Linked DNA regions of Coturnix japonica. The protein of the gene in region 7 interacts with the protein of the main gene of each other region in a pairwise test. Links are inferred from orthologs where the notes say so. Each region holds a gene or a part of one and is shown on either strand. Other genes may lie near its edges. The genes, in order: TOMM70, SYT11, RGS2, GPR37, RAD1, SNCA and PRKN.

Region 1 (4,097 bases), on a different chromosome or scaffold from region 7:
GTGTACCAGTCTTTCAGTCCCAGTGTCACTTCCCACAAGTATCTGCATCAAGTCATTATCTTCTTCCATATGCTTTGTACAAAATCTGTCTGGTTTCATTTTTCTGTAGGAATTCCTTTTCAGTTTTGTGGCTCTTCTGGTGCAGGTGGCTTCCAGTGGCGCCTGGCAATTTCTTACTGAGAAACTTGCAGAAATAGAAGCAAGCAGGTAGAACCAGAGCCCTGGGAACTGCAGCTACTGTTAGGTGGGCATGACCCTGGAGCTGGTAGCAGAAAGCTAATATCATGCAGCTGAGTAGGGCTTCTTTCATCATGTTTTTCTGCCCCACAGCAAAAATGGTCAGAAGTGGCCCAAGATTGTACAAAGGCTGTGGAGCTTAATCCTAAATATGTAAAAGCTCTCTTCAGACGTGCAAAGGCTCATGAGAAGCTAGACAATAAGAAGGAGTGTTTAGAAGGTGAGTGTCTCTTGATATGTATATGTAACGGTGCTCAGACACTTTGGAGATCATTAAACTTACATAATTATTATTATTTTTTAAAATTATTGTAACTACAGTAGCCCCTAACTATTTTTAAATGTCATTTATAGTTACAACAAGTGCATTTTGTTCTCTTTTAAGAAGAAACATTTAGGTCTGAAATAGCTCCTGCAAAATGGATCTTACTGTAGCCGCTTGGGGTATTCTCTGTCCAGGAAGCTCCCTACTTGTTGAAACAGAATTCATATAATGTGTTGTGTAGGTAACGCAGACAAGGATCATTCTAATTCTGTGCGGTAATAAGGTTTCTTCCTTTTTAGAGAAACTGTACTGGTCCAGAAACAAGGTGTTTTCACACATAGAGGTGCTTAGCCATAGACAGGTGTTACAGCTGTTTAAATGCTTGTGGCAGGTGTAAAAGGCAAAACAGTTTCAGTAGCATTTCTGTCCTGATACGTAAGAGGTAGGCACATTAGAACAGATAAGAATAAAAATCCTTTTTTTATGTTAATGATGTGCATTTGGCAGAATCTGCTTTTTCCAGTTTAACTGGAAAATAAATAGGAAGAATCAATAGTAGCATTGCATTAATTAGAAGAAATAAAGATAATGTACCTTAAGAGTGCGTTTCACAATGCTGAACATTATTCAGGCAGCAATGGGTTAACATTCTCAGAAGCTCTGTGTGAATGAAAGTGATATGAGTTAGCACTTCAAATGTGCTAGCAAGATGCTTCTTGTAAAGCTGTTTCTTTCCCATGGCACAGAGGTAGGCAGAAAAAGATGGAAATATAATACAGGAAGATATCTTAAGAGCTGAGAAAGGAATGAGGTATGATTGAACAAAAAGTGAAGTTTAAAAGCAGAAATTTATGTAGAGAATGGTGACCAGTCCCAGAAGACAAGCTGTTTTGATTCTTTTAAGATGCACAAGTTATTAACTTAATTTTCTTCATTTGCTGTTATTACAGGACATGTGTTAGTTTGTGAGTAACTCATTGTATTAGTGGCACATTTTAGTGTTTTGTAACTATCAGAATTGGTCAATAATCTCTATTTTTATATTATTTCCTAGATGTCACTGCAGTCTGCATTTTAGAAGCCTTTCAAAACCAGCAGAGTATGTTATTAGCTGATAAAGTTCTCAAACTCCTTGGAAAAGAAAAGGCCAAAGAGAAATACAAGGTAAGGCTTGTGATGCTGCTGACAAATGCTGATTTCTGACTGTTGAAATGTTGTTTGTTGGCATTCTGATAACAGTTGCAAGTTGGTCGCTGCCTTCACAAAGCTAATATGTTACCATTGTTGTTTTCTGGGTTCTGACCAAACAGCTTGAAACCTTTGTGGGGAAGAAGGGCTTATTTCTAACAATCAGGTTGTTTCCTTGTAATGTTCAAAATTATGATGGTGTTCAAGAGACAATCCTAAGCTGATGTGCTGCCTTACTTGGGTTTTTCTGGGCTTGGAAGATAACGGATGTTAGAACAACAGCAGTCAAATGTTCAGTTGCACATCAGGTATTAGGAAAGTTTATGAACAATAAATAAAAACAAATACAAAACTTTGATATGTAGCGACTAGCTTAAAATGAGAAGGATGATAATAGAGGAGGTTTTACTCCTAGGTTGTTGTTCTTGGCTTTGTAGATAGAAATTAAATGCAGGAAGGATTAGGTCAACCATGGAATTTCTGGGGTTTAGAAAGTGGCTAAATAATATTGTTGGGTTTGGTTTTGTTCTTAAAAAAGCCAAAAAACATTGCTGAAAAGAAATGATGTAGAGCAAAATCTCACCTTTATATTCATGGTCAGACTTGCTGATTCTGACTTAAGAAATATGATTCCATCTCCCACAGGTTATTTGTAACAGTCCCTGTTCTTCTGAGTCAGTTATGTAAATGGATGCTTATGCTTGTACTTTTCTGTTTGGACACAGATTTCTTTGCATGAATGTTTGGAAACTGCAGCAACAAGAACTGTGGAAGTATAGAGTTAGCCAGGAAGAGTCATTTTAAGTGGCCTTAGGTTGGGACATGCATTAAATTATGCTGGCTTGTTTGTGACTGCAGTTTACCTACTGAAATCCACACTGACTTAGAGATGCTGAATTTCTTTTCTGTAGAAGCTCACATAATTGTGTGACATCGAGGTAACAAAAAATAAATGGTACCTGTAGTAGAATAGTGGTAGCATCATAAAATGGATGTTCTCTCTGTCAGGATTATTATGACTGAACTTAATAGAGAAACAGAGAAGAGTGTATTCAGACTTCACCTGCAGGAGGGATCGAACTGTAATTCTCTTTTGCAAACTTCTTATGGCTGTACAAAGGATTTTGCGTCCAAGGTGTTATTTCTCATGATTCAGATAAAATAGTTGATGTCTGGGCCAAGCCCCAAGTAAGAATTAGGATATTACCATCTGATTTTACAGTCTAGTGAATTAACCTTGTATTTGTGTTTCAGAATCGTGAGCCTCTGATGCCCTCGCCACAGTTCATTAAATCCTATTTCAGTTCTTTTACGGATGATATCATCTCCCAACCTTTGCTTAAGGGTGAGAAATCCGATGAGGATAAGGATAAGGAGGGAGAAGCTTCTGAAGTAAAAGAAAAGTGAGTGTACAGTACAGTTGGAAATTGTTTGCTGTTAAAATTATTTTTAGTGGTATTGGTGTTCTTTTCAGTTTAAGTTGCTGTTATGTTATAGTACCTGAGATCTGTGATAACAAAATAAACCTATGAAGTAAAATCAGTGTTAAAAAGGAAACTTTGGAGGGCTGTCTGACTAATTCCAAACTGTAAATGTCTTTGATCCCTTAAACAAAGAAAGTGCAAAATGGGGAAGACAAACTAAATTTTTTCTAAAATACTGTGGTAGAGAGTAAGAAAGAAGTAGAAAGTGCTGAAAGAAAGGAATAATTACATTATGCTAAAGGAGAATTCTGAAGGGAAAGAGCAAATCATCCTTTGATTGAAAGGGAGAAGACGAGCTCAGAAAAAAAGCTGTCTATTGGTGAGAACTGAATAACAGCAACTGAGGCTGAAAGGATATTTATCTTTTTAGAATCAAATCGCTCATAAGCAAGTTTTGTTCTGACAAAGAAAAGCATTAGTGCTTTTGCACTTGTTTGTTTTCTGAGTGAAGTTTGAGCGCTAAGTAAATGGGCCTTTGACTTATTGTGCTGCTTTCCAGTTGGTGTTCTGGAGGATAATCACTGCTATCAATATGGAGGCCATCGCAAACAGCACAATGAATCTTTTAAATCAGGGTAGAATGGCCTGATATACAGGCAGATTCAGTGAATCCAGGGCATGGAGCTGAGAACAAAGCAGTATTTACTGTAATTTTTTAAATCTGAAATCCATTCTTCTGCATATAAACTGCACATTGCTAGGTTCACTGTTCATTTTTCTGACCTGGTGTACCATATTAGCCCTTCTGTTTTGAAGTAGAGATTCACATTGTCCTTAATGTGAAAAACATTCAAGGGACAAATGAAGCAAGTAGGTGGGAAAAAAAACACTTCATTTCTTTCTTTCTGATGTTACTGTGGCATTTTATGTCTAAATTGTTTTGGATCTGTGGTGGTTCTGTCCAGGAATATTTGTTACTTTTA
Region 2 (4,097 bases), on a different chromosome or scaffold from region 7:
AGGTTCACGCTTCAGCTCCCACAGTTGGGGACTGTCAGGATTCTCCCACTGCAAAGCAACCAGCTCGCATCATAGAATCATAGCACGGCCTGGGTTGAAAAGGACCTCAATGCTCATCAGTTCCAACCCCCTGCTATGTGCTGCCCAGAGCCACCAGACTCAAGTCAATTTGCACTTTATGTATGCCATGTATATTAATTTAATCCTAATGCTGGCATATATACACACACACACACACATATATATATATATACATATATATATATATATATATACATGTGCTTTTCTGACTTAGCACGAGTTTTGAAGCTAGAAGTGACACCCAGCTGGCAATGTTTGGTTTTTACTTCTTAAATCATAAGCTAATGCATAACATAAGTATCAGGGAAGGATAAAATGTTAGCCTTGCATATTGCATCTGTTCTGTTCTGTCACTTGCAGTGATTCATCACGCTCAGGAGTTTGAGGAAAAGTTTGCAAAGTAAAGACAATAAGAAGAAGTAAATGATCTAAAAGTGAGCTGAGCTTGTAGCGACTGGGAGTTTCCTCTCACATTCTCTTATTTATCAGAATGCATTTACCTTCTGCAACACAATTCCTACCCAACAACCAACAGCTGCTGTGCACTGTTTGGATATTAAAGTCTCCTTCCTCCCCCCTCTGAACCCAGCCTGTATTTTGCTGCATGTTCTTTCAGATGGAAACAACGTTGTGCTGGAGCACCCCCGCAGCAAAGCTATGAATTGCCCTCAGGGTGGCTTTGTGTGGCAGACTACAAACATATTCAGGGTTGGAGAAAATAGCTTCTACCTGAGAGGCCAGTGATATCCATCTTTGGCAAATGTCTGGCTTTCAGCACCACGACGGTCATTCTCTGTGCCGCGGGTTGGTAAGATAGTGAGACCTGCAGCTCTCCTCTGCTAATGCATTTCTGTGAACAAGAAACAGCAATAGTGTATTAGGACAAGATCTTACAAACATGGGGTAATGTTGGGGGTGTTCTCCTTTTCTTATGCTAAAGGACCAGGAAGTTGGAAAATCATCTGTGTTTCATTCTAAATCCATGTTTAGCCGTAGCCATGTGAGGTCTCCAGAAGGAGAGCGAGCTGCTGAAGGTAAAACATCCTCTGCTCTATATACCATGTCTGCTGAGCAAAGCATCACCACAGCCTTCAGTTTCTCTGGGAGCAAACCTGGGGTCATGCTCAGAGAAATGAGCACCTCAGGGTTCCTCTGAGGTCTCCTCTGGAGATGCTGTGGTTTCTGGGAGCTCTAAGTTCACTGATTTCTTTTGGAGGTTACACTGGTGAGCACCTCGAGCTCCTTGGGCACACTTTGGGAGCTCCACCATCAGTCAATCCTACACCAGAAAATGATGAAGACAAAAAAGAAACTATTCTATTAAACTCGTCATTCATACTTCCAAAGAATAACACTATTAAGATTATTAGCTTTGGTTTCCAGTCGGCACTCATTAACTTCCAGTGAGATGGCGCTAATTTCAATTAAGTTTATTTGCTATCAAGGAAGGTGGTATTGGCAATGGGCGTGAGATGGTGTGGTGTAGGGAGCACAGCAGTGACAGCACTGCAGAACTCAAACAGCTGCTTGCTTTAAGCTCAGCCATCAGCATCCTGCCCTGCCCCCTCCATCAGCATCTGCTCCTTTTAACCCCCCCTGCAGTGCAGATGGGGAAGGAGGTCACAAATGGAGGATTTGCTTTGTTTCCAATAGAAACATCACCACAATAAACGTTAAATCTGTTGTTTTGAATGCTGATGCTTAAATTAATTGGAGAAAATGGTGTGCGCAGCTGGCACCAAGGTAAATTTACTTCTAGTTACTGCTGCATATTAAATAACGTGCACAATTGATCACATCTATTTTTTAGTGTGACCACTTTCCTCAATTTTTAACCTATTACTTGTAGAACTTACAGGACATGCAGTCAATGCACTGAAAAGAATACTTTAAAAACCCTAATGCAGAATGTAAAGCAGCCCCATCGAGGTGAGTCTTCAGGCTGCTTTTCTTTCCAGTCCACAGCACGAGACATGAGAGCAGGATTCAGTTCATTTGGGTTTTAGATATCTACACTGGGTAGATACACTTCATCCTCACATGGGAAAAGGAGGGGGTCGATGGAGGTGGGATTGATCTGAGCTGCTCCAGACGTCTCCCCATCCATGTTTTGTAGCAGCCTTTGCTGGTGATGCTGATATATTTTCAATGGCTTACAGCCTACGGTTACAAATTAGGTAATTACAAATGGAGGTGTCCAGAAGGGTCAGATGAATCCTTCTCTAAGTGCGATCTGTCTTTGCAGAGCAGGATATATTGTTACTCAGAATTGGTTTAAAAGGTATTCAGTGCAACTCTATCTCTAGCTGTTCTCCATGAACAGCTCGGACAAGGATGAATGTCCCTTTGTCACAATGCTCTTTTATTGGGAGTGGCATTCCCCATTTCTGTGCCCCTACAGTAACTGTGTTACCAAATCTCTATAACCACACAGCAGAGAACTGCCAAACTAAAAGAACATGGTCAGATATTAGTAAAATAACATACATAATAACATACATCTGTGGGAAAAAAAATGGGTTTCATAACTAAGAATGGTGTAGTCTCCGGTCTGGCCTCACCAGATCACTGAGGCTCCCAAACCAGAAGAACTGGGACCAAATGCAAAGCAAGGAAAGCTCAATGACACGAGATGAAGTTACTCACCTGTATGTTCCTTTTGAGAATCTCCCTGGTCAGCTGAACCTTCCCAGTGCTCGGATCCACTCCCGCAAGGGGCACCATGACTTCTCCAATCACATCATCTCGAGAGAAGCGATCGAAACTCAACACCAAGAAGTGAAGCACCAAATCCTGGAGCTGGCTGTAGGGGATCCCATAGAAGGTGAAGGTTTCATCAAAGACCGGATCCAGCGTCTTGCGAAGGACGCGGGTCTTCACGCGATGCCTTTTGTCGGGAAGAATGGTCATCTTGATGTATGGGTCGGAGCTCTGAGTGTGCTCATCCATAACTGGCAGCCCGTGAGCCTCCTGGATAGTAACCACCAGGGCTTTTTTAGGGAAGTTATAGTCCACTGAGAAAGTCAGTTCACCCAACAGGACGTCCTCCCCTGGAGAAGATGGGGAGGAGGTTTTACTTCCACCCGGAGTGAGGCTTTGATCTGGGCTTAGTTCATCTCCATAATCTACTTTGATCGGAAGCTGATCAATGTGAGGAGCTGCATTTGGCCCATCTGGAGCCTTATCAGAGCCTACCAAGCCAGATTCAGCAGCATCCACCAAAAGGTTTCCCCTCCCAGCCTCCTTAGGAGCTCCATTCTTGTCTCTCCGGATTCGATTGATTTTCTTCTTGTTACTCAGGGTCTCCGGATAGATGCTGATGCCTTTTAACATGTGAATGAATTTATACGGTGGGGTTTTGTGCTTTTTTTCTGCTTGCTGGTGACAGCATGTCCACACAAAAACTGTTACCGAGACAGAAACCACCAGGACAGTAGCACCAATGAGGCCTGCCACAACTGGAGAGACATCTGTAGGGGAGAAAAGCAGTCAAGAAAGAGCTGGAACTTCTTTGAGTGCCACAGCCCCCCAGGAGGGAGCATACCTGGGCAGGGACTCTATAGCATGCTATTCATTAAGCCTAGTATCAAGGCATCCCTAGAATAAAAAGTTAACTTGTATTTCTATGGACCCAACCCTGGATTATTCAGAAATTGTCATAAGATTATTCATAAATTGTCCCTTATGAGTAATTCAAACCTTGAACTCTTTCTCGTGTGAAAATCTGGTGTTTAAAAGCAATGGACAGAATATCCTCTTTTTGTACGTAGGGATTATTTGATATTTTGCTAGAGTTTATGTGTCAGTTGGGTTCTTCAGCAATGTCAGGCCTGAACAAAAAGGCACAGTAATCATTTTTAGCAACCAAGCTCGTTATTTTCTATTTATAACCATTGCTTTTGGAGATGTATTATCAAACACAAAATGAAACCAGTAGTTTCCAGCTCCCCAGTACATTATATTGACATATACAAGCAATTTAGTCAAGGGCCACCAGGATAATTAAAGAGCTGGAG
Region 3 (4,692 bases), on a different chromosome or scaffold from region 7:
TTGCTGTGCAGACACACAGAGGCTGTTGCACCCCAAGTGAGCGAGGATGGGTTGGGGCAGCACTGCTGGATTCTATGGGAACATTAAAAATACCATCAGCAAGAGGCAGCGTGAGATGCAGCATGGATGCTGCATCCCTCACTTTGCCTGTGGCTCCTCTGCCATCCCAAAAGCAGACTGGTGCAACCTGCCTAGTTCACGTGATGCCAGCAGCAGCGCTGATGACGTTGTTTGATGTCAGACACATTCCCCTTCTATTTAACTCATACACAGAAAACATCTTCTGTCACACAAATGTTTTAACTGCTGTCCCAGCAAAGGTCAGGGTCACTACCAGAAAGCACGCAGCACAGCATGATGCAGCAAGAAACTATTCCATGTAGTTTCTTCTTCACTGCAAAAAACCAACACAGAACCAACAAAACATGCTAATAGCCTCACTTTAGGAGCGTAATGAAAATGTAAACTTCAAATACATATTAATGCAGATGATCAAAGTTGATCTAAGTATCTTTTTAAAACCAGATGTTATAGCAAGTACATCTTATCAGGCCATCTAACCTTACAATTCCATGTTCATAGGGTTGAAAAGGACCACAATGCTCATCTAGCTTCAAACCTCCTGCTATGTGCAGGGTCACCAACCACCAGACCAGGCTGCTCAGAGCACGTCCAGCCTGGCCTTGAATGCCTCCAGTGTTTTATTTTAACCTGAAATGCTATTTTCCCCTCTCACTGTTTAAAGACATAACAAAAGCTGTCTTAGAATCATTAAGGTTGGAAAGACCTCTCCAAGCCCAACTCCAGCCCATCCGCACTGACCATGCCTCTCAGTGCCATATCCTCCTCCTTTCTGGAACACCTCCAGGGACGATGACACCCCCCTATCTCCCAGCACAGCCTGTGCCACTCTATCACCACAAACTATTCCTAATACCTAACCTGGTCCTCCCCGGGAGCAACGTGAGACTATTCCTTCTCATCCTCACACAGGCTTTTCCTTAGCAAGCTCCCACCTGGGCAGCTCCTGCACGCAACAGGCAGCAGTACTGCATCCTTCTTTAAATGCTTTCAAATATTAAATAGAGGCCGTTTTTACCTAAGGCAAGATGCTCTGGCACAAGGCTGTGGGGGGGGGATGCTTTTTCGAGCCTAAGGTGTTGTGACGCGTGCGGCCGGTAGGGGGCAAAACGACGTGCTCAAATTTATCGCCGCTTTGGTTTTATCTTTTTTTCTTTTTTGAATAAAGGGGCCTTTATTCCTCCTTCCTCCTTTTCTTCTCTGCTCAGAAGCCTGTGCTGACTTTACGGACCCAAATCTGCAAATCGAAGAGGAAGAGAAGTAGAGTTGGAAAAGCAGCTTAAAGAGGAGAGAGAAAGAAAAGAGCGGAGAGAAAAGTAGCTCTGGGAGGGGTGGGAGGGGAAAGGGGGGGGGAAAAAAAAGAGAATAAATCAATATCGGAGCGCCCGGCCATACGGGGCGGGGCGTGGGGCGGAGCACGGGTGCTATATGGGGCGCTGCTGCAGCCGGGCAGCGGTGTAGGGCGATGCAGAGCGCCGTGTTCGTTGCTTTGCCGCAGGACGGCGGGCGGATGGAGCGGGGCAGCCGACGACGAGCTGAGCTGGAGGAGACGGACAAGGGCAGGATGATGAAGCGCACCATGTGAGTGGCACCGCCGGCTCGGCCGAAGGGAAAGGTTTCTCTCTTCTGCTCGCAGCCTGAAGGCGGCTCTGGGTACTGGGGTGAGGTTGGTGGTTGACGGCTTCGTTGTAAATGAGCGTCTTTTGTTTTTCCAGCATTAAAGACTGGAAGAAGAAGCTGAGCTACTTCCTGCAGAACTCTTCCCGTTCTGGCAAAATGAAGTCCAACAAAGCGAGCAAACACCACACCTATTTCAGGTGAGTTCCAGCCTTAGATAACTCGAGTGCTGCACAAAAGAAGCAGCAGATCTCGAGCTGCGGTCTCACTTTCTCTGCTCTTCTCTCTGCCTCACACAGACCTTCCCCCGAGGAAGCCCGGCTGTGGTCAGAAGCCTTCGATGAACTGCTGGCTAACAAATGTAAGTTGGTCTTCAGGCTGTAACTGTTAAGAACGAAGCAGGGGAGAAGCTGATATAGGAGATGGCTTCCCTGCATGTCAGTACTGCACGGAGCTCTTAAAGTAATATTAAAGCAGAGCTCCCCACTCTGAAGCATTGTAGCTGTAGGCTCTGTAGTTCAACTTTACCTATTCAGCCTGGCTTTGCCATAAGTGCAAAGCACTGTGCTCTCTTATCCAAATCAGATTCATTCTTATAATTCAGTAAGGATTCTGCAGCACAGAAGTCCACTGATTTCATTTTCTTGTGGGGCAGATTTTTGCTGGGGAAAAAAAAAAAAAAAAAGCACTCAACAGCACAGCAGTAACAACTAAGAGCTGATACGGCAATTTGTTCTTTGAACTTCTGAGTCATCCTTTCCATTGCAAAAGCGTTCCAGGGGTTTGTTGTGCTGTCAGAAGTATTTGCTCCAGCATAAAGGTTAATGAGGATGATCCCATCTAGAGCTTTTCTTCTTAACGTAGCTCATCTGCAGGTATCATAAGGGTACACACTGACTAGAAACAGCTTTTGGTTTTGCACTTACATTAATTTGGCTGACTTGAAGCCTGCCAAGCTGTTAGGGTGTTAATTTGCCTGCAATGTGGATTTCTTATTACCATAACATTGCAGAAAAGACCAGAACTACAGCAAAATATTTTGCTAGGAGCAGATGTGACAAATTGGCAAATATAAGATGCCTGGAATACTTAATTGATGTGGTTTTGCCTCCCTCCCCCCTTCCTTTCCCTAGATGGTGTTGCTGCTTTCCGAGCTTTTCTGAAGTCTGAGTTCTGCGAAGAGAACATCGAGTTCTGGCTGGCATGTGAGGACTTCAAGAAAACCAAATCCCCCCAGAAGCTGACACTGAAGGCAAAGAAAATCTACAATGACTTCATTGAAAAGGAGGCTCCCAAGGAGGTAAGGAAAGCACACAAGCATTGCCCTGTTTCGTGTCTTTAGCCCCACTCTATTCCTCTGAGCTTGTAAGATGCAGATGCCACAAATGCATTGGACACAACTTTTCCCTGACTGCCTTCTTTCATCAAGGTGGAAAATGGTACAAGCTGTACTTCAGATTCCACCTTAGCATGAATGGGGAGGGGGGGAGGAAAAACCAGCCTTGTCAAACACCTGTAATACTTGGGTTTGGCACCAGAAAACAGCATACCTGGATTACTCCAAGTTTTCATAGTAAAGAAATAATTTAAAAGAAACTACATCAATTTATCCCTGAAACAAAAGGACTCCTGACCTCTTCAAAAGTGTTGTGCTTGTTGGGATTCAGTTCTCAGAAAGTAAGCATCTGTTTTTTTGTATTTCAGATAAACATTGACTTCCAGACCAAGAACATGATAGCACAGAACCTCCAGGAAGCCACACACACCTGCTTCAGTGCAGCACAGAAGAGAGTTTACAGCCTCATGGAGAACAACTCATACCCACGGTTTCTGGAATCGGAGTTCTATCAGGAGCTGTGCAAGAAGCCTCCCATCACCAGAGCTGCCCAGGGAACATGAGTGCAGAGTGAGGAAACACCTCTCAGCTACCAAGGAACTGAGCTGGCTTGGCAGCATCCTGACCTGAGAGACTGAGATGGGAGCACTCAGTCAGTTTGCCTCAGCATAAGGACTGATATTGACTTTGGTGCAAAGCTGTTGGCAAAGGACATTGTTGGAAGGCGTTTGTGGCTGGCAGCAGTGCACCAGGCTGGTGATGTCCTTTTTGGAGTGCTGCAGTAAAGGAGCCTGCACGCATCTAACTGAGCTGTGCCTTGTGACACGCTCCTTGTCATAGCTGTGGTGTTATACAGCAGGTCAGCACAGAGCTGCCCTTCTGCAAGCAGAAGCATAAGTCTGTGCAGTTGAGCAGTGCTGGGAACTTGAGTCATGTATAGATTCTGGTGGCTTTTTTTTTTTTCCCCCTGCACATCAACCAGTACTGCTGTCATCAGTTCCTGGGTGTTGTAACACCATCTGTTTAAGCTGACATGAGCTGCAAAGAGATGTACTGAGGTTTGTGTGTGGTTTGCAGGCACCAGTTCTACCCTCACTGCTGTGCAAGGAGGGGACAGCCAGTTCTGCTCTAGGAGGAATGAGCTGTGCAGCACAGCCTGCAGGGCTGGGCATGGCAGCAGGGCTGCGTGAAGCTGGGCAGAGGGCAAAGCCCAGCTACAGTGAACAGGAGCTATACAGTATTATATTTATATACAGATTATGATTGTGTTGAACGCTGCAATATGTCATAATTTTGTTTGAGACAGCAAGCTTCAGTGAAGTCTTACTGTTTTTAATAAACTATTTTGATACAGAACTGCTTTTGTTGCTTGTTTTGCACACACACAAACTGGTCTGAGTGAGTTATCCTGCAGTAACCACTCTTACAAGTGCAGTCTCCACTGGGCTAATTTTAAGCAATTCACTCTTGATATACAAGGCACGTTGGTGCTTCAAACATAGTAAAAACCTTCAGAGCTTGAAAGCTTTGCTAGAATCTACCTCAAAATTATCTCTACGACAGTGCAAGGTACACAAACAGCTGGACATGTCAGATCAGCCAGAAAGCAGCAGCATTGTTGCTAGAGCTCCCAGCCATAGAATACAGGCACTTACAGT
Region 4 (4,717 bases), on a different chromosome or scaffold from region 7:
TGTCTGCAGTGTTCCTAGTGGTGTCAGCATTGACGGTAACACCCATGAGGTCGGAACTGCACTCAGAAAGTGGCAGACATTGGCTCTAATTCCCACCTCTGTCTCCTCAGGGTCAAATCATAGAATCATAGAAATACTTTAGTTGGAAGGGATCTTTAAAGGTCATCTAGTCCAACTCCCCTGCAATGAGCAGTGTTTTCTTCTACTTACTGCTCCCAGGGTGACGAATATTCTTTACATGCGTATTATACTTAATGACTAATGAACAAAATATGTACAGTTCTGGGAGTGACATGGTACCTCAAGGCTCTCTCTACTCAGTTGTTCGCCTCAGATACAACTTAATTAAATTTCCTCTGGGAAGAGGAGAATGACCCCAGTAATGACCAAGCCTCAGACAGGCACCATTGGGCTGGTCCATCATCAGTGGATGGCTGACAGTTCTTGAATAAAAGTTCAGCTGTGGGCATCTGAGGAACTTTAAAGTGAAAACTAAGGTGACATTAGAGAATAAAGGAGGGGTCAGCAGCTGCCTGATGCCTTCAGGATTACAGCTACATTTGACAGCTCCATTTCAGCTCAGGTAATTCAGAAGGGGGGAGAAGGGAGGGGAAAGTACTGAAATACTAAACTTAGATCACTACTTTAAATAAAGTGGTCACACTTTAACTGAAGCAGGAACTACTCATCTACTGGATAACACAGCATCCCTAGAAGTGAATTCAGAGCTCTCAGAAGCTCCTGCCCAAAGCTCCTATTAGCATTCTCAACAAATACATATTTCACCCTTCACTTCTTCCCAAACCCAGGTCAATGGAGTGTACCCTAAGCTTTCCAGATCACGGCATCAGTATACTAACTGGCTTCAGTTCCTCTGAGTACATCACAGCTCCACTCTTTGTCCAGTACTGCAAGTAACAGAGTGCATCACACAGAACAGAAGTGATGGCAGTGTAGTGGCTGCACGCTCTATCTTAAGACCTCCATAAAAGTATCGTTTGGCAGCTGATAGTGGAGACTGATATTCTATGTATTAATAACAGGGTTAATTTTTTTCTTCCCTTTTTCACACCTCTAGTATCGCATTTGTACTACAAGCAAATCAACAGTTTCTTCTCAGCTTCCAGTTTAGAGAATAACACTGAGCAGAAGGATTTGGGCGAAGAGCAGAGAGAGACAGCATACCGGGCTCCCACTCCATCTCACCCCTCATCTCCAGCACATGAATCCAACTCTCCTCCAACCTATCCCAACTCAATCCCCGAGTCATTTCACTTTAAGGGGGGGGGGGGGGAAAAGAAAGAAAGACTAAAACTTGTAATCAAACGTTGCGAGTACTCCTCGCCTTTTCAGCACCACGAGGAGCGATAAAAGTTTGGCAGAACTCGCACGAGAGGAAGCGCTCAGCCGGAGATACGGGGATCCCGGAGCTGCCACCCTGACTGACCACGGGACGCCCCCCGGAGCACGGGACCCCACGCTACGACACGAGGGCTGCCCGGGATCCGCTCGCCCCGCCGTTACCTCGATGTAAGGGACGATTTTGCAGGAGAAGTCCTCTAGGAGCCACTTCTTGGTAAGCTCCTGGAAGATGACCAGAGGAAGGCAGAAGAAGAGGATGAGGAAGTCCCAGAAGGCCAGGTTGGCCAGCAGGGAGTTGGAGATGCTCCGCATGTAGTAGTTGTGCCACACGATGCACATCACCGAGAGGTTCCCGATGATGCCGATGCCGAAGATCACCACGGAGAGGCACATAACGGCGTAGGCGCCGTACGACTCCTCGGTCAGCGGGTAGAAGGGGTTCCGGAGCCGGGCTCGGCGCCCCGTACCATTGCCGCGGCCCCCGGCGGCGCTCTCACCACGGGCAGAGCCGTTCAGCGGCAGCCACCGGGGGCCGCTCCCCGCCGCCGCCCCGACCCCGCTCTCGCTGCTCCGCGCCCGCCGCCGCCCGGGCTCCGCCTCGGCCCCGCGCCGGGGCACAGCGGCGACGGCGCGGCGGCCCGGGGGGGCGAGAGGCGTCGGCGCTGAGCTGGAGCGCTGCGGGGGCGCCGGCAGAGCAGAGCCGGCGACGGGGAGCAGGGCGCAGGCGGCCCAGGCGCCCAGCACCGGGCAAAGCAGGGCGAGGGGAGCGCGGAGCTGCCGCATGGCCGGGAGGCGGCGGGGCTCAGCCGCTGCCCTTCGGCTCGGCGGGGCTGGCGGCGGGGGACATACCCGCACTCGGAGCTGAGCTTCTCGCCGCCTCCCGGGGCAGTGCCCGAAAGTTGTGCCGCCGCCTCCGCCGCGCGGAGTTAATGTAGCGTGTGCGGGGCCGGGAGGACCCCCCCCGGCGCTCCGCCCTTCCGCGGGAGCGCTGCCGCCCCGCCGCCTGCCGCCTATTTACATCCAACAGCGGGCAGCGGGGCTCTCGGCTGGGAGAGGTCCCCCGGGAACGCCGCCCATACCCGGGTGACCGCGGCCACCGGCTCCTCCCGGAGAGAACAGGTTGTCGCGCGGAGCGCAGCGTGTTTGAGATCTTTGCCAAACTCCGTCCGTCGGCAAGCAACGCGCTCGGGGTAGATGCAGTCCCGGGACCGACCCCTGCAGGATGCTCCCGCCTCCGGCTGCAGCGAGAGGGCGGCGACCGCAGCTCCGTGCGGGAGCTGAGAGGTGCTGGTCGGCGGGTTGCTCCCGGCTCAGCCCGGTGCCGCTGTCAGCCCGGTGCCGCTCGGTCCAGCTCTGCCCAGCCCGGCTCGGCGCAGCGGCGGCTGGGGGCGCGTCGGAGAGACGGGCGAGCAGCGCGGCTGCCCCGCAGTGCGCAAGCGCCGCCCGGCGGCACGGAGGGACCGATCCGGCTCCGGCGAGTCCGATTTTAGTCGGTGATGGAAGATGTGGCCCAAAGCACCACCCTTACGACTGGACTGCGCCGGAGGCATCCCCGGATGGTGCTGAGACCCATGAAGGCTGCTCTGCTTTTTTGTTTGTTTGTTTTGTTAGTTTATTTTCCTGTTTTGAGCGTCTTTTAACGCTTATGTTTGTTGTCCTTGTTCTGTCTGATAAACTTTATAGCTCTTCCTTCTTGCTTCCTTGATTTTTATATAATTCAAGCGTTTTTTTAGCTAAACAAAGTTGGATACGCTAACCTGTAAGTAGCCTGAAGCTCTGTGCAGCTCCTCCCCACCACCTTTAAAAGTTTTACACTCTTTCTAAGAAGCACATTGAGAAGTGTTCTTGTTCCCCACCCTTGAGCTGAAGCCGTTCTGTTAGATCAGTAAGCAGCTGGAGCTGTGCTCCATGGCTGTGCGTCTAACAGAGCTGTGGGCTCCTCTTGTGGACAAGTGTTGCGACCCCGAGCACAAGGAGTGTGTTTGCAGGCTTTTTGTCTTAATGACCAACAAAGGAAAATGTCAGTCTGCAGTGACAGAAAATACATGCTGCACGCACACGGAGCCAACCTGCCAGATGCAATCAGGAACACGCTGCTGTTGCTTTGTCTCCGCAGGGCAGAGGCAAGATGTAATGCCCATAAGATTCTTTGTATGGATTGTTTTCTTACAGTTTATTTCACAGAATTATTTGAGTTAGAAGGGAACCTTAAAGATCATCTAGTCCAACTCCCTTGCAATGAACAGGGACACCTACAGCTATGTCAGTTTGCTCAGAGCCCTCTCCAGCCTGACCTTGAGCGTCTCCAAGGACAAGGCATCCACCGCCACTGGGCAACCTGTTCCAGAGCCTCACCACCCTTATTAAAAATCTCTTTCCTCATATACAGTCTAAATCTTACCCCTTTTAGTTTGTGATCGTTTCTCCCTGTCCCATCATATCACACCCTGCTAAAGTCTGTCTTCTACTTTCTTAGAGCCCCCCTTTAGGTACTGAAAGGCTGTTTTCAATCTCCCAGAGCTTTCTCTTCTCCAGGCTGAACAGCCCCAGCTCTCTCAGCCTGTCTTGGTAGGGTAGTGTTCCAGGTGAGGTCTCCCCAGCACAGAGCCGAGGGCAGGATCACCTCCCTCAGTCTGCTGGCCACTTTTGATGTAGCCCAGAATCTGGTTGGCTTTCTGGACTGGACAAACAATAACCCACCCAAGTGGCAGAAGGGAAGCATTGCATCAAGGCACTCGCTGGACTGACTTTGCTTTCAACAGAGGGCAAAGTGCCTGGGATCAGGAGCATCCAACATCATCTACATTGAGTGTCTGGAGGTGCCCCAGTACACTACCTACACCAGAAGGATGACAAAAATTGACCTTTGAGTGGCTAAAAGGAGTGAATCCTGTCCCACACTAACTGAAGAGCAGTGCCTTTCCATGGTGGTCGCACAGAAAGCTCTCAGGACCCAGGTGCCATCCTGCTCCTGACGCCATTCTCACACATAGAGTTGGAATGTAACTGTGGGCAGCCTGAAATGTTTCTAAGCATGTGGAAACAGGTATAATAAATTTGGCACTGCTGCATGGAATGCTCCTTAATATAAGTTATGCTATTATTCTTCCTTAGCAATGTGTCATCTCATGGACTTAAATGACCAAGGTAGTAAATATTTTTTAACTAACAAGAGTGTCTTTAAATAGAAAAATAGCAGGAGAACAAGGGAATGGTAAATACATTTAACCTTTTTTTTTTTTTTTTTTTTTTCTTTCTTATTTTTTTCCCCCATTTGATTCTTTGGAGCTCAGCTGGTGTATAAAAGGAGTTAATGATGCTAATGAGCTTACATTTACTGCGCCTTTCTTCCTGA
Region 5 (4,604 bases), on a different chromosome or scaffold from region 7:
GCCTGAACACATAATTAAACAACAACATTTTATAACGGTGTTTGCACGAGTTTTTACTGGCTGTGAATGGAAGATCAGCTACCAAGGGCTTTTTAGCCACGTCATGCTATCACAGAATATCCTGAGTTGCAAAAGTTCCACAAGGATCATGGAGTCCAATTCCTGGCTTCAATCATTTGTTCAATCCAATTGAAACTGAATAAGCCTGGTTTGTTATCATGTATTTTCCGAATTCTAGAATGTGTCCTATGACGCTTTTCTGCACTGTAACAGATATTCAGACTACATTTTATATGTCCCATTATTCACAATCAGTCAGTACCAGATTCTCAGAAATACTTGGTTTGAGGTCACTCTGCAAATGCACTACGGATAACACTCAGCCCTACCTGCTTTAGAATGAGGCATCAGCGTTCTCAGGTCTTGCATTAGGTGCCTTGTTCTGAAATTAATCCCACGAGAGGAGAAAATAAGCACCCGCTCCTTGTTCTTCCATTTACCCTAAAAAACAGACAAAAGCGTTAAACAAAAACCTTAATTTTCTTAAAGTTTCTTACAACAACACCCATTTGAACCGCAGCAACAGAAAAGATGAGCAAGAACATTCATAGCAATCTCATCACCCGCACAGAAACTCCGCAAAGGTTCGACTTCTGACATTACTGCTCACTGCAACGCATATATACAAAAGGCACATAACAACATTAAGAACTCCGCACACAATGGATGTTTTAATAAGAGGGCCCGGCAGAGGCACAGGCTGCCTTCAGATGAACATGTGCTGCGGGCTCGGGCCGCAATGTGCTTCAACGAGAAGCAGCAGCAACTACAGCCATTCCTGAGGCTCCTCAGAGCAACTCCGACACCAAGCACACTCATCATCCATAAAATCGTCTGCATAGAACTCAACTGAAGGCGTTTCTAGATTGTGGTAATACAGCTGAATCGATCGGCCAGAACAGCGCTTTTTTGTCAGCGCTTCCCAGGACGCTATTTCTGTTTGCAGTAACATAATTAGAATGGAACCGCTTCCCAGGACGCTGCTTCTGTTTGCAGTAACATAATTAGACTGTTACAGCCCTCACAACCCGCGCAGTGCCTGAGCTCCCCTCAGCGCCCCGACTCCCAGCGCCGCCCAGCTGGGCCCCAACGCGCCCCGCCGCTACCTGAGAGACCGGCGCCGGGATGCTGTACTCCTCCGGGGCCGCTCCGTCCGGGGCAGCCTTAGCGGTGGCCTCGTTCGCAGCCGGAGCCGCCTTCACTCGCTTCTTCGGCCTCGCAGCAGCCGGCAGCTCACGCTTCCTCTTGGACACCGCCATCTTACAGACACCGCGCCGTGCGCACCTCGCACTTCCGCCCGCTCGCCGCGCCACCGGAAGCGCCGGCGCAGCTGATAGCCGTGGCTTCAGGCCCCTGTAGGCCCGTGTAGGCCGCGCTAGGCCAGTCCGGTCCCGTTAGGCCGCGGTAGGCCCGGTCCGGTCCCGTCAGGCCGCGCTAGGCCCGGTCCGGTCCCGTTAGGCCGCGGTAGGCCCGGTCCGGTCCCGTTGGGCTCCAGGAGCCGGCCATGCCGTTCTCCACGCAGTCCCCCGGCAGCAGCGAGCAGTACGTCCTGACGGCCAGCCTGGATAACGCCCGCAATCTGTCCAGCCTCCTTAGGGCCGTCCACTTCCAGGATCATGCCACTTGCTTCGCCACAGACAACGGGCTTCGGGTGACTGTAGAGGATGCCAAATGCATTCAGGCCAATGCGTTTATCCAGGTAGGGTCTGGAGGCTGAGCTGCTTCCCGTGGTTAACGGTGAGAAGGGGCTGGTAGCAGCGTTAGGGACTCGAATAAGTGATGTGGTAGAACTGGTGTACAGAAGATGAGCTGTGGGGAAGGGGAAGCTTTAGTAAAGCCATAGAGTATTTGCAGAAGCTAATGTGAGGAAGATGCAGTGATTAGAATGTGGCCATTAATTAATCATATAGTGGTTGGGAACAGTCACATTGTCAAATCCTGCCATAGACAGATCATAAAATCATTCATGTTGGAAAAGACCTTGATGGGATGAGAGGTAATGGTATCCAGTTGTTCCAGGGGAGGTTCATGTTGTACGTAAGGAAAAACTTATTCTCAGAAAGAGTGGAGAGGTGTTGGAACAGACTACCCAGGGAATTGAAGTCATTGTCCCCAGAGGTGTCCAGAAATGAGGAGATGTAGCACTGAAGGACGTGGTTTAAGGAGTCTTGTGGGGATGGCTGATGGTTGGACTAGATGATCTCAGCAGTCTTTTCCAACCTTCATGTTTCTATGCTAAGTCCAGCCATCAACCTGACCTCCTCATTATCATTAACCCAGGTCTCCTAATGCCACGTCCACACATTTTTTAAGCACCTCCACCACTGCCCCAAGCAGCCTGGTCCAATGGTTGATCACCCTCTTCAGAAGGAGAGTCTTCCTCATACCCAATCTGTGCCTCTCCTGGTGTAACTTGTTATCATTTCCTTGTGCCGTATCACTTGTACCTAAGAAAACAAACATCTCCATTACTGTGATTATGTGTTAGGTAGTTATAAGCAAATGAAGAGATCTCCCAGTCACTGAAAATGTAAGACATGAGTAAGTTGTGAAGTAATTGGAAAAGCTTCACTGTTTTCATCTCTTACTTTTCTCCCAAAGGCGGAAATTTTTCAGGAGTTTCATGTTCAGGAAGAATCAGTCGTGTTCCGAATCAATTTGGCAGTTCTTCTTGACTGCTTGACCATTTTTGGAGCCAGTTCTTTGCCAGGTATAGTGTATATATATGTATATATTCCTTGACTGTGTGTATGTATAGCCTGTAATTGCACAGTGAAACCTGTGCTTGTCCATAGGTAGATATCCAGTCTTAGTAAAACTTCTGACTTCTTTACCTCAAGCTCTTCCAAGGGTGGAAGCTCTCATCCTTAAGAGGTTGGAACCTGCAGTTTAGTACTTGTTGAACAAGTGTCCCATTGCTGTGAACCATAGCAGAAGTCATCACATTGAGAGAGAGTACAGATACAGCTTGGAATTTCTTAAAATTTCTTAAAAGAAGCAAAGTGTTCCCTTTTATTATGGGGTCCTTTTTGCTCTTCAACACAAATGTTGAATTATATTCCTTTAAAAAAAAAAAAAAAAAAAAAGGGGAAATTTTGTTTCCTGGGAGGTTTTTTTTTCCTGCTTACTTAAGGAGTGTTCAAAAAGAAGTTTTCACAAGCAAAGTTTTCACGGAGCACTGGAACAGGCTGCCCAGGGAGGTGGTGGAGTCTCCTTCTCTGGAGATATTCAAGACCCGCCTGGATGCCTTCCTGTGTGACATGGTGTAGGGAGCCTGCTTTGGCAGGGGGGTTGGACTCGATGATCTCTAGAGGTCCCTTCCAACCCCTACAATTCTGTGATTCTGTGAAAGATTGTTACAAAGATAGTTAGGCTAGCTGTGTGGGTCCTGCAGGATGCACTATATATTCATATGGAGTAGTGTGAAAGGATGTGGGCTTTCTCATGCTGCTTTACCACTGGAGCTATGTGTTGAACTCCAGATTCCTCTGCTGTTACTGCTGTCTGAACTGAAGACCCAAACCTGAACTGCCCTGTGATTTTAGTAAGCTAAACATTCAGATGTTTAAGAAAAAGAGATTCACGACCATAGTGCGAGCTAAGCTGTGTTAAGTTTTGTTTGGTTGAGCTATATGACAGGAAAACCTGAATTTCCTGAAGTGATAAGATGCCCTGATGGACATTCTCTGAACAACATGTATTTCACACTCCTTTTCAGGAACATCAACAGCTCTTCGGATGTGTTATCGTGGGTATGGCTATCCCTTGATGTTGTTCTTAGAAGAAGGAGGAGTAGTGACAGTGTGCAGAATTAATACTCAAGAACCTGAGGACTTGTTAGACTTTAATTTCTGCAGCACCAATGTCATCAATAAAATTATCCTGCAGTCAGAAGGGCTACGAGAAGCATTTTCTGAACTTGATATGACCAGTGAAGTTCTGCAGATTACCATGTCTCCAGATAAACCATATTTCAGGTACTAGAAACTATCTAAACTTCAACTCAGATGTTCCTGCTCATCCTATTTGCTCTTCCCTTGGTGAGAAATGGAATTTTACAGAGTGAAGAGGAAAAGCCCTTAGGAGAATTAGAGTCTGGGGGTGTTGGTTGATGAAAGACTCAACATGAGCCAGCAATGTGTGCTTGCAGCCCAGAAGGCCAACTATCTTGGGTTGCATTGTGAGAAGTGTGACCAGCGGGTAAAGGAAGGTGATTCTGCCCCTCTACTGTGCTCTTGTGAGACCCCACCTGGAGTACTGTATCCAGTTTGGGGCCCTCAACACAAGTAGGAGATGCACCTCCCCTACAGGGATTGGCTGAGAGAGCTGGGATTCTTCAGCCTGAAGAAGAGAAGGCTCTGGCAGGACCTTATAGCAGCCTTCCAGTACCTGAAGGGGGCTATGCAGAAGTTGGGAAGGGACTTTCTATACAGTGTGCATCAACAGGATGAGTGGAATTGTCTTTAAACTGGCAGAGGGTAGATTTAGATTAGATATTAAGAAGAAAGTATTTACTGTGAAGCTGGAACAAGTTGCCCAGAGAG
Region 6 (4,767 bases), on a different chromosome or scaffold from region 7:
TTGATGCTGAAAAATGAGCAGATGCTCATTTTAAAATAGATTCATCTTACAACTGCTTTTTAAAATGACTTCCATCTCTGTCGGCAAAAGCACCAAGCTTAGCTACGGCTCAGGAGGAGAAAAATATATTCCAAATGAGTAGTCTAAACTACGTGGAGTAGAAATAATTCATTACAGACTGGCATCAACCTGCAAGGGCAGAAGGAATCCTGGAAAGATGTACAGAAACATCAGTTCTTCCATCTGTTTTTTTGGTTTTTTGTTTTAAACTCTGTTCAACTTCTTTTTAATATTTGTACACACTTCCCCAGATAAAAGCAGCATCCATTACAGAATTGACTTGCTGCCAAATCATAAAAAAAGAACGAATCTACAGAAAAGAGTGTATTTTCCTTCCTATTCTACTACCATGCAACTGAAATTAACTTAAAAAAAATAAAATGGAATTCCTCCAGTTTAAATGACCTATTCATATGTTCTTGGCAGCTTTTTTCCTGTTCATTTTTCACTATGGCATTTATGAGACAGTACTTTAAGGCCTGGTAGTTTCTAAGTGAAGACGATGATTGTGTCGTCAACAGTCCAATGTGAGATTTGAAAAGAATCTTTCCCCGGGTTCCATGCAAAGTACTCGCATAGTCTGGGTAAGTCAACTAACATCTGCTTCCCACTTTCTCCACTGTCTCAGTGACCGTAAAGGTTCTTCTTTGAGTAGCCATGGAAAATAGCTGCTGAGGATATGCAATAGTAAGTATAGAACATTAGGTTAACTTTGAAAAACAAGGAGCTGACACCTCACCATTCAAAATGTTACTGCTGAGGACCTTTATTTAGTGAAGAAAGAAAACAAGCTCCTTTCTATGGGGTGTACAGTTATCTTCCTTCTACTCCAGGAAAAGACATTGGCACGTCTTAGATTCAGTTCCAGAACCAACATCTCAAGTTTTTTCTTTAAAAATCCTGCTTAAAACTCAGGCATTCTACAGGATTCTGTGAATTTACCTCCCATATAGCAAGCATCTTAAATAGGGCCAGTCAGTAACTTGCATTGTAAGGCCTCTTCCAACAGGCAAGTTTATCCTGTACAACATTACAAATGCAGCCCCATATGACCAGCACACACAGTGACAAGAACCAAAAAAAAATACATGACACACAACAAACAGCAATCAAACAAACAAGCAACAATCGTCAAAGACCCTATGCTCAGGAGAGTTCAAATCTCATCATGTTTACTTTGCAGTTAATCCTCTCCTATGAGTGATTACATATTTCAGAGAAGAGAGAGAATTCAGCTCTTTCTTTCAGATGAGCGGGGCTGTCAGGGTACACCAATCAGCAGCACAACCTCACTGCCCACCTACCCACATAGAGGACTCCCTCTTTCGTCTTTCCTGCTGCTTCTGCCACTCCCTGCTTGGTTTTTTCTGCTGCTGCTACAACCCCTTCCTTTGCCTTGTTAAGTCCCTTCATGAAGACATCCATGGCTGAAGGATTTCTTCACACAACACTAGAAAAAAAAAAAAACAATACCAAACACACTTTAAATAATGGTTCTCAGCTTTTTTTTTTTTTTTTTGCCAGAAAATTTTATTAAAACTGATTGCACATCAAAATACTTTTGAAATACATTATTTATACTCACATATTATATAACTTCCATCTACATCCGTATTAGCAATATACACATACCTCTCTGTATCTAGGATCGCTTTCAGTATTTCAGATAGACAAAAAACAGTTAAATAACTAGAAAACAAAGGAGCTCCATTACACAACTCACCTTTACATCTCACATGCTACCACAGAGCAAGTTCAAGTTAAGCAGTATGGCTAAGGTAGTCCCTGAAAGGCCCAGGAGTTCCCACAGAAACGTACAGAAAGGTCACTGATAACGCAGTTCTCATTTGAAGTTGCACTCACTGAAAGGAACAAATCCATTCCTTGCCTACCACCATCTCCTCCAAAGGACAGTTTCTTGTCTATTAACTACAAGATCTAATCCCATCATTCGCTGATGCTCCACCTTCTCATTCAAAGGAAAAACTTAAAAACTAACAACTTTACAAACGCTTCTTCTAAATGAGAAACGTTCGCTCATTGTTGTTTGAAGAACCACTAATGTTCCAGAAGGACTTGAGCAAACACAAAACTGCTTTCCAGCAACCCAGCATTTTGCATGCAGCCCATATTGCTCTGCCAGCACTTGAGCTTTCAAAAGGGATCCTGCACATGCATCAAGACTAAGGAGGAAAAAAAAAAAAAAGCAAAGGCAAGAACATGCTACACTAATAACACCACACTACAGCTAGCAAGTAGGTTCTGTGGCAGTTATACAGCCCTACGCTACAATTAGGCCACAAAGACAGTAATTAAAGCCAGCAAGACACCCCTTTCACAATCCCGTCGCCGACAGCCCCTTCCCTTTCTCCCCCTCCCCCTCCCAGAAGATGCACTGCCTGCTAGTTCTTTCCCTCCGCCGGAGGAAGGGATGTCTAGGAAGACAGTGGGGAGCTTGCTACTAACCCGTGGCAATCAGAAGGGCAGAATCCGTGCCCCACTGACACCGTAGGCAGCACCGAGAGCAGGTGTGGGAGCACCTGGGTGCAGAGCGAGGGAAGAAAGCAGTACATGGCTACGTGGCTCAGTCTAAATAAAAGAATGGGCACCTGTGGAGGAAGGAAGAAAGAACGCGCAGGGCTCTCCCACATGTATGTGTCTGTATCTATACGGACTATCCGAGGAGAAGGGCAGGGCTACGTGAGCACATAAGCACCCAGCGGCTCCCTCACACGGCAGCCGCGGCGCCCGCTGGTTTCCCCTCCCGTTCCCTTCCTCCTTCGTGCCCAAAGGAGAACACGTTGAGCGACAAATGCACCTGTCCGCACACCCACCCCTGCGGCTGCCCAGCCCCAGGGCGAGCAGAGCCTCTCATGCACTCCCCACCACCTACCGCTGGGTCCGCCGCTGCAGGAAGGCGGGGGGAGGCAGGGCAGGAGGAGGGCGAAGCGCAGAGAGACCTGATGGGAGCTGCCCCTTCTCAGCACATCGCCAACTCTCCCGACGGCAGCAAGGCAGGCAGCGAGTGTGAAGGAGAGGCAGGGTGCGGGGCGGGGGCGGTAGGAGGAGGGGCCGGGGGCGGTGGGGCGGCTCCCAGCCTCCATCCCCTTCTGGGTGGGAATGTGCTGCGGGTCGGGTATGCGTCGTGACGTGGGGGTGGGAGGTAAGGATAGGAAAGAAGAGGGGAGGCTGAGGTCCTGGTCATCTCGTGGCACCACCTGTCCGCTGTTCGCCCCGGCGGCTGAATCACAGCACTCAGAAGCAATGCGAGCAAGCTGTTGCTAGTGAATTCAGCACACCTGTTTCGCTTCACCCACGGCTCAGAAAACGCCCCCGAGCTCTTGGTTACTTATCTTCCTCTCGTAAGCCTTCAGGCCGGAGTGACTTGAGGTGAACGCTCTCAGGATTCACGCTCCCAGCTCATTTTTAAGGATGGCAGGTAATACTCTTGTAGGTAAAACAAGATCCTTAACCCCACAGCATAATATAATAAAATCTTTGTCTAAACAAGGATGAGAAGCCCAGCCTCACACCTGTTGGTCTCCATTGTACAGACCAGAGCCACTGCATTTCCCCTCTTGGTCTGTTACACTCAAGTCACTTTTCCCCAGAAAGGGAAGGCAATGTCACTTCTCTGCATTGCTGCAGAGCGTAGGCATGAAAAGCCAAATTCAGTGGAAAACAAGGTATTAGAACAGATGGACCTTCAGCATCAGTACATCAGTCAGCATGCTGTACAGATCCTGCAAAACCTTGCAAAAACAGTTTGTTCTGTCATTGCGCTCCAAAGGAGAAGCAGAGCTTGGTACAGATGAGACACAGGGATGTGAGCTGCACAAAGCACCTTCCATCCATCATACTGGGCAGACAGCAGACAGGTTCCTGCTTTTATTTCCATTCTGAGCACACAGTGCAGAGTTTTCTCTTTTTCAGGTTTCTTAATGTTTCTTTACCGCTTGGTAATCTTCCTTGGGATTCATTCCACTACTACATTTAACCAAGCAAACATTTGGTGAAATGTATTTTTTTGTGTGAGAAGGTGCTGACTGAGAACACAAACCATTCCTTCATAATTCTGCTCTCCAGAAAATCCTTAGCAAATGATCCAGCAATTGCACATCCTATTCATCATGAGCTACACTTTACTTGCAGTCAAGGTTGAAATTGCAGAAATAACACATTTTACATGAGCAACAATAACATCTCAAATTAATGACTTTGTCTGGCTAGATAGTCAGTGTTTGAGTGGAAAGCAGCTCTGTCCCCCTGGGACCTTAAGTAAATCCATACTCTGAAAAGCAACAGCTCAAGTGGTACGGAAGCCAACACAGCAGCAGTGCATTTCTACTCAGAGACAATAGATGAGTAGGTGATCAGAGACTTCAGATGAGGCCGTCCAAAGGATCCCTGGCAAAGTCAATGCTGATTGTTCTTTAGGATGTTTCCCACTACATAGCACCAATGAGCTGACTATGAATGAGAACAAATTCTCTTCCTCATGCACGATGCAATACATTAGCCCTATCTGATATAACTGACTGTGCTAATACTAGTGAAGTGGGAATTGTCATGCAGGATCAGCTCTGATGCCCGTCTAGTCTCCAATCCTGTTTCAGATAGAAGCCAGCAATGAAGGCATCCAAGGTCAATGATAACATAGTATGCTCTGAAGTAGCCTGCTTCAAATCTAGGTATCTGAGCCAGTGC
Region 7 (3,014 bases):
TTGATGCAGAGCGCTTATTGAGCTGTAGTCCTGCACCAGGATTGAGATGCATTTCATCCAGTGATGGCTTAATACAAACTGTGAGAGAGGAGTGGTTCTAAACTTTAAGTAAAATGTATTGTGGAGGCTGGCCATCAGTACATTTACATTTAAATAAGACAGAAATGTCCAGTAAATTGCATCTCTTACATTAATACAGGATGTTTGATATGTTGAATAGACCTTGCCATCACAGCTAGTTTTCTTCCTCTGTCAAATGAAGCAGATTGACCTATTTAACAGATCAGTTCTTAGTGTCTGTTGTTTTTACCTTCTGGAGTGGCATTTATAGGAAAGGTTGTGTAAGTGTTGCAGGTCGTACAGTAGGAAACACACACTCCTTGTACATCTTATCACCATCTGGAGTCAAACTGAGATGACATTTCAGCACTTCTTACTGCATGGTTTTCATTCTGTTTGAATTATACAAGAGATTTCTTTGTGTGGTGAGCAACATAGTTTCCATTTGAAGTACATTTTTGTAATGACCTTTGACAATGTTAATGTTTTATATATTACAAACTAAACATATCATCAAGGCTGTGAGCAGAGAGATTAAAGCTGCTCTCACAGTATGGGCATGTAAGAAACCTAACACAAAGGAAACATCGATGTGATCAAAAGACTGCTTCAGTACTAAGAAGGTCAAGTCAACTTAAATTACTAATGCCATTTTTGTATCATCGGCACTCAGCCATTAAGATCTGTCTCTTGAGTCACTCTTTGCAAAACCCTCCAACACTGAATCCAAATTTAAAAAAACTAATAATTTAGTTCAACTTCTGGCTCACCACTCTACTAGCATAGATTACCTCGGAGCAGTCACCTCCATAAGTGTTGTTTTAGAGCCTGCCATTGCTGTTCTGTGTCCCCTGCACAGTCTCTCCAAATGTCAGGCAGTACTTCAGTTCCTACTTCTGGAGTCCCTCAAATGACACCAGCACGCTGCATCCTAATAGGAGAGGGAGTAGCAGGATTTAGAAAGCTGAGGAGAAGCAGTCTTCAGGTTTGAATTTCCCTTTTACTAAATATTTTACTTGGTTAGTAATTGAATGCCAACAAAAGTTGATTCTAAAACTGTTAATGGCTGGTTAATATCAGTAAGTGCTTTTCACGTACCAAAACCATTCTTTTGCTCTTTTGCAGGTGGCTGCATGCACATGAAATGTCCTCGACCTCAGTGCAGGTTTGAGTGGTGCTGGAACTGTGGCGTGGAGTGGAACAGAACCTGCATGGGCAATCACTGGTTTGACTGATGGCACAGTGACCCAGGGGCTAGCTGGCATTGCTGCTGCAGCTGGCTTTCATCAGGGTCACATTCTGAACTCCCTGCTTGAACAAAACTCCCAGTGGTTTCAGGGGTGGATAGTTCAGATGTTAGCTCAGTTTGTTGTTTTTTTCTTGCTTACCTGTGGAATTATACTAAACTCACATTGAAGGTGCGCCAAGGGTTTTAAATCCATTAAGTAAAAAGAGAAATTGTTTTAATGGACAAACTTACTCATCGTGGTACAAAGAAGGATAAATTTCACCTTTCTGAATATCTTCAGCCTGTCAGCACAGAGAGCAGACAGGTTTACCATGAGGAACACACTTGATATTTCTAGTCAGAAATCCGTGACTCCTGCAAGAGAGCAGCAGGTGCTTTTGTGTATCAGGAGCTACAGTGGAGAGTCCCAGCACCAACTCCTTTGCTCAGTCAGCACAATTTTTGATTTTAAGACTGTGTTTCTTAACGGCTTAATAGCTTTTTAACAGATGGAAGACACTGGCTGTTCAGTGTTTACTCAGGGTTCCTTCTGAACAGGTTTGCTGTAGTGTTCTTGCCTTCAAACCAAATTCTCATAGAAACAGCCAGCTTTATGCCAGATTTGTGCTTGCGTATTTGTAACACATGGCATGAAATCTGCCTATCATCACACAGACTAAGTTACCTCTCATAGATTAGTTGAGGATGCATGCAGTTTGAGCTCTAACCATGAGTGTTGCAGTGGTGGTTGGATATGATTAAGTGTTGTAAAAGCTAAACTCCAGGGGTTTCATTTTTCTTGTGCTTATAGCAATACTTTGAATGTAGCATGGGAAGCAGGAGGAACCTTCTTGGGGGTTTCCTTCATTGTCAATCTAAATTGAATCAGAATATGATTTCTGAAAATGCATTCACAGCTCAAACAATGAGGAACTTCTTTCATTTTACAGTGTTTACACAATAAGTAAAGCTTTATAGCATTTCCAAGCCTGAACAGTGTTACTGTTTCATATCCTTTGCATTGCTGTCCTAATCTAAAATGAAATGGGTACTGTTCATCTCAGCGTGTCAGGTAAGGATTTCTTATAAGTCATTTTGAGAAAAAGCACACAGCAAATAAAGGTGTCAAAAATGACTTCATTGCTTATGTATTCATTTATTTTTATACGAGGTAAGTGAGTAAAAAGATGCTGGGTGTAATGGATAATGCATTTCCTTGACAGATTAAACTCATCTGATTCTCAGCTGAGAGACTAGCCCATTGATTAAAGCATACTCTTAGAATAAAAATAAATTTCAGGGCCATTAACTTCTTGTATCAAGTCTGAATTAACAGCTTGTGTGGTGTGACTGTAGACTTCTGAAATTATGGGTGGGCCTTCTATCAGTCAGTGCAGAGCAACAGTCTCGAGGTACAAAGAAATCCCAGACTCTACAAGAATGGCCAGCTGTTAAAAGCAGTGGAGTACTCATCTGTCTCAGCTGGAAATCACCTTAGAAGTATGAGAAAAAAAATAATAAGGATGAAGGGGTGAAGTATCAAAAATGAAAGTGAACTGACGGAATTAAGAAAATGCTGTGAGAGAAAGAAAGTGGCAAAGAGAGCACAATGGCCTCCTGGTAAAGGCCATTTTCTCTTTAGTACCAGTGAACTAAAATGTGTGCAGGTATGGTTTCATTAGAGCACAGGAGTGCAATAGAATGATGTGATGTAGTTCATTTATGT

Evidence for each region.
Region 1: the proteins of PRKN (region 7) and TOMM70 come close enough for resonance energy transfer, tested with the Homo sapiens proteins (3 studies listed by BioGRID). The link is inferred for Coturnix japonica from reciprocal best matches to the Homo sapiens genes PRKN and TOMM70.
Region 2: the proteins of PRKN (region 7) and SYT11 interact in binary tests that used the Homo sapiens proteins (3 or more experiments, as listed by UniProt). The link is inferred for Coturnix japonica from reciprocal best matches to the Homo sapiens genes PRKN and SYT11.
Region 3: the proteins of PRKN (region 7) and RGS2 interact in binary tests that used the Homo sapiens proteins (3 or more experiments, as listed by UniProt). The link is inferred for Coturnix japonica from reciprocal best matches to the Homo sapiens genes PRKN and RGS2.
Region 4: the proteins of PRKN (region 7) and GPR37 interact in a two-hybrid assay, tested with the Homo sapiens proteins (2 studies listed by BioGRID). The link is inferred for Coturnix japonica from reciprocal best matches to the Homo sapiens genes PRKN and GPR37.
Region 5: the proteins of PRKN (region 7) and RAD1 interact in binary tests that used the Homo sapiens proteins (3 or more experiments, as listed by UniProt). The link is inferred for Coturnix japonica from reciprocal best matches to the Homo sapiens genes PRKN and RAD1.
Region 6: the proteins of PRKN (region 7) and SNCA interact in binary tests that used the Homo sapiens proteins (3 or more experiments, as listed by UniProt). The link is inferred for Coturnix japonica from reciprocal best matches to the Homo sapiens genes PRKN and SNCA.

Annotation. Positions count from the first base shown.
Region 1 is NC_029516.1:76,028,829-76,032,925, reverse strand, and holds part of TOMM70 (mitochondrial import receptor subunit TOM70), read left to right. Parts: intron 1-330; coding exon 331-457; intron 458-1,556; coding exon 1,557-1,666; intron 1,667-2,944; coding exon 2,945-3,093; intron 3,094-4,097. UniProt on the Homo sapiens protein: Acts as a receptor of the preprotein translocase complex of the outer mitochondrial membrane (TOM complex). Recognizes and mediates the translocation of mitochondrial preproteins from the cytosol into the mitochondria in a chaperone dependent manner.
Region 2 is NC_029540.1:1,790,269-1,794,365, reverse strand, and holds part of SYT11 (synaptotagmin-11), read right to left. Parts: intron 3,552-4,097; coding exon 2,728-3,551; intron 932-2,727; coding exon 808-931; intron 1-807. UniProt on the Homo sapiens protein: Synaptotagmin family member involved in vesicular and membrane trafficking which does not bind Ca(2+). Inhibits clathrin-mediated and bulk endocytosis, functions to ensure precision in vesicle retrieval.
Region 3 is NC_029523.1:3,458,609-3,463,300, reverse strand, and holds RGS2 (regulator of G-protein signaling 2), read left to right. Parts: upstream 1-1,512; 5' UTR 1,513-1,546; coding exon 1,547-1,662; intron 1,663-1,796; coding exon 1,797-1,898; intron 1,899-1,997; coding exon 1,998-2,059; intron 2,060-2,831; coding exon 2,832-2,998; intron 2,999-3,402; coding exon 3,403-3,597; 3' UTR 3,598-4,390; downstream 4,391-4,692. UniProt on the Homo sapiens protein: Regulates G protein-coupled receptor signaling cascades. Inhibits signal transduction by increasing the GTPase activity of G protein alpha subunits, thereby driving them into their inactive GDP-bound form.
Region 4 is NC_029516.1:20,448,671-20,453,387, forward strand, and holds the start of GPR37 (prosaposin receptor GPR37), read right to left. Parts: upstream 2,999-4,717; 5' UTR 2,146-2,998; coding exon 1,525-2,145; intron 1-1,524.
Region 5 is NC_029547.1:9,684,397-9,689,000, reverse strand, and holds the start of RAD1 (cell cycle checkpoint protein RAD1), read left to right. Parts: upstream 1-1,433; 5' UTR 1,434-1,564; coding exon 1,565-1,759; intron 1,760-2,661; coding exon 2,662-2,770; intron 2,771-3,778; coding exon 3,779-4,037; intron 4,038-4,604. Other genes in the region: BRIX1 (ribosome biogenesis protein BRX1 homolog), read right to left, coding at 390-501, 1,167-1,319. UniProt on the Homo sapiens protein: Component of the 9-1-1 cell-cycle checkpoint response complex that plays a major role in DNA repair. The 9-1-1 complex is recruited to DNA lesion upon damage by the RAD17-replication factor C (RFC) clamp loader complex.
Region 6 is NC_029519.1:31,289,746-31,294,512, forward strand, and holds the start of SNCA (alpha-synuclein), read right to left. Parts: upstream 3,122-4,767; 5' UTR 2,954-3,121; intron 2,691-2,953; exon of another isoform or gene 2,670-2,690; intron 1,511-2,669; 5' UTR 1,486-1,510; coding exon 1,365-1,485; intron 1-1,364. UniProt on the Homo sapiens protein: Neuronal protein that plays several roles in synaptic activity such as regulation of synaptic vesicle trafficking and subsequent neurotransmitter release.
Region 7 is NC_029518.1:40,625,172-40,628,185, forward strand, and holds the end of PRKN (E3 ubiquitin-protein ligase parkin), read left to right. Parts: intron 1-1,185; coding exon 1,186-1,295; 3' UTR 1,296-2,423; downstream 2,424-3,014. UniProt on the Homo sapiens protein: Functions within a multiprotein E3 ubiquitin ligase complex, catalyzing the covalent attachment of ubiquitin moieties onto substrate proteins. Substrates include SYT11 and VDAC1.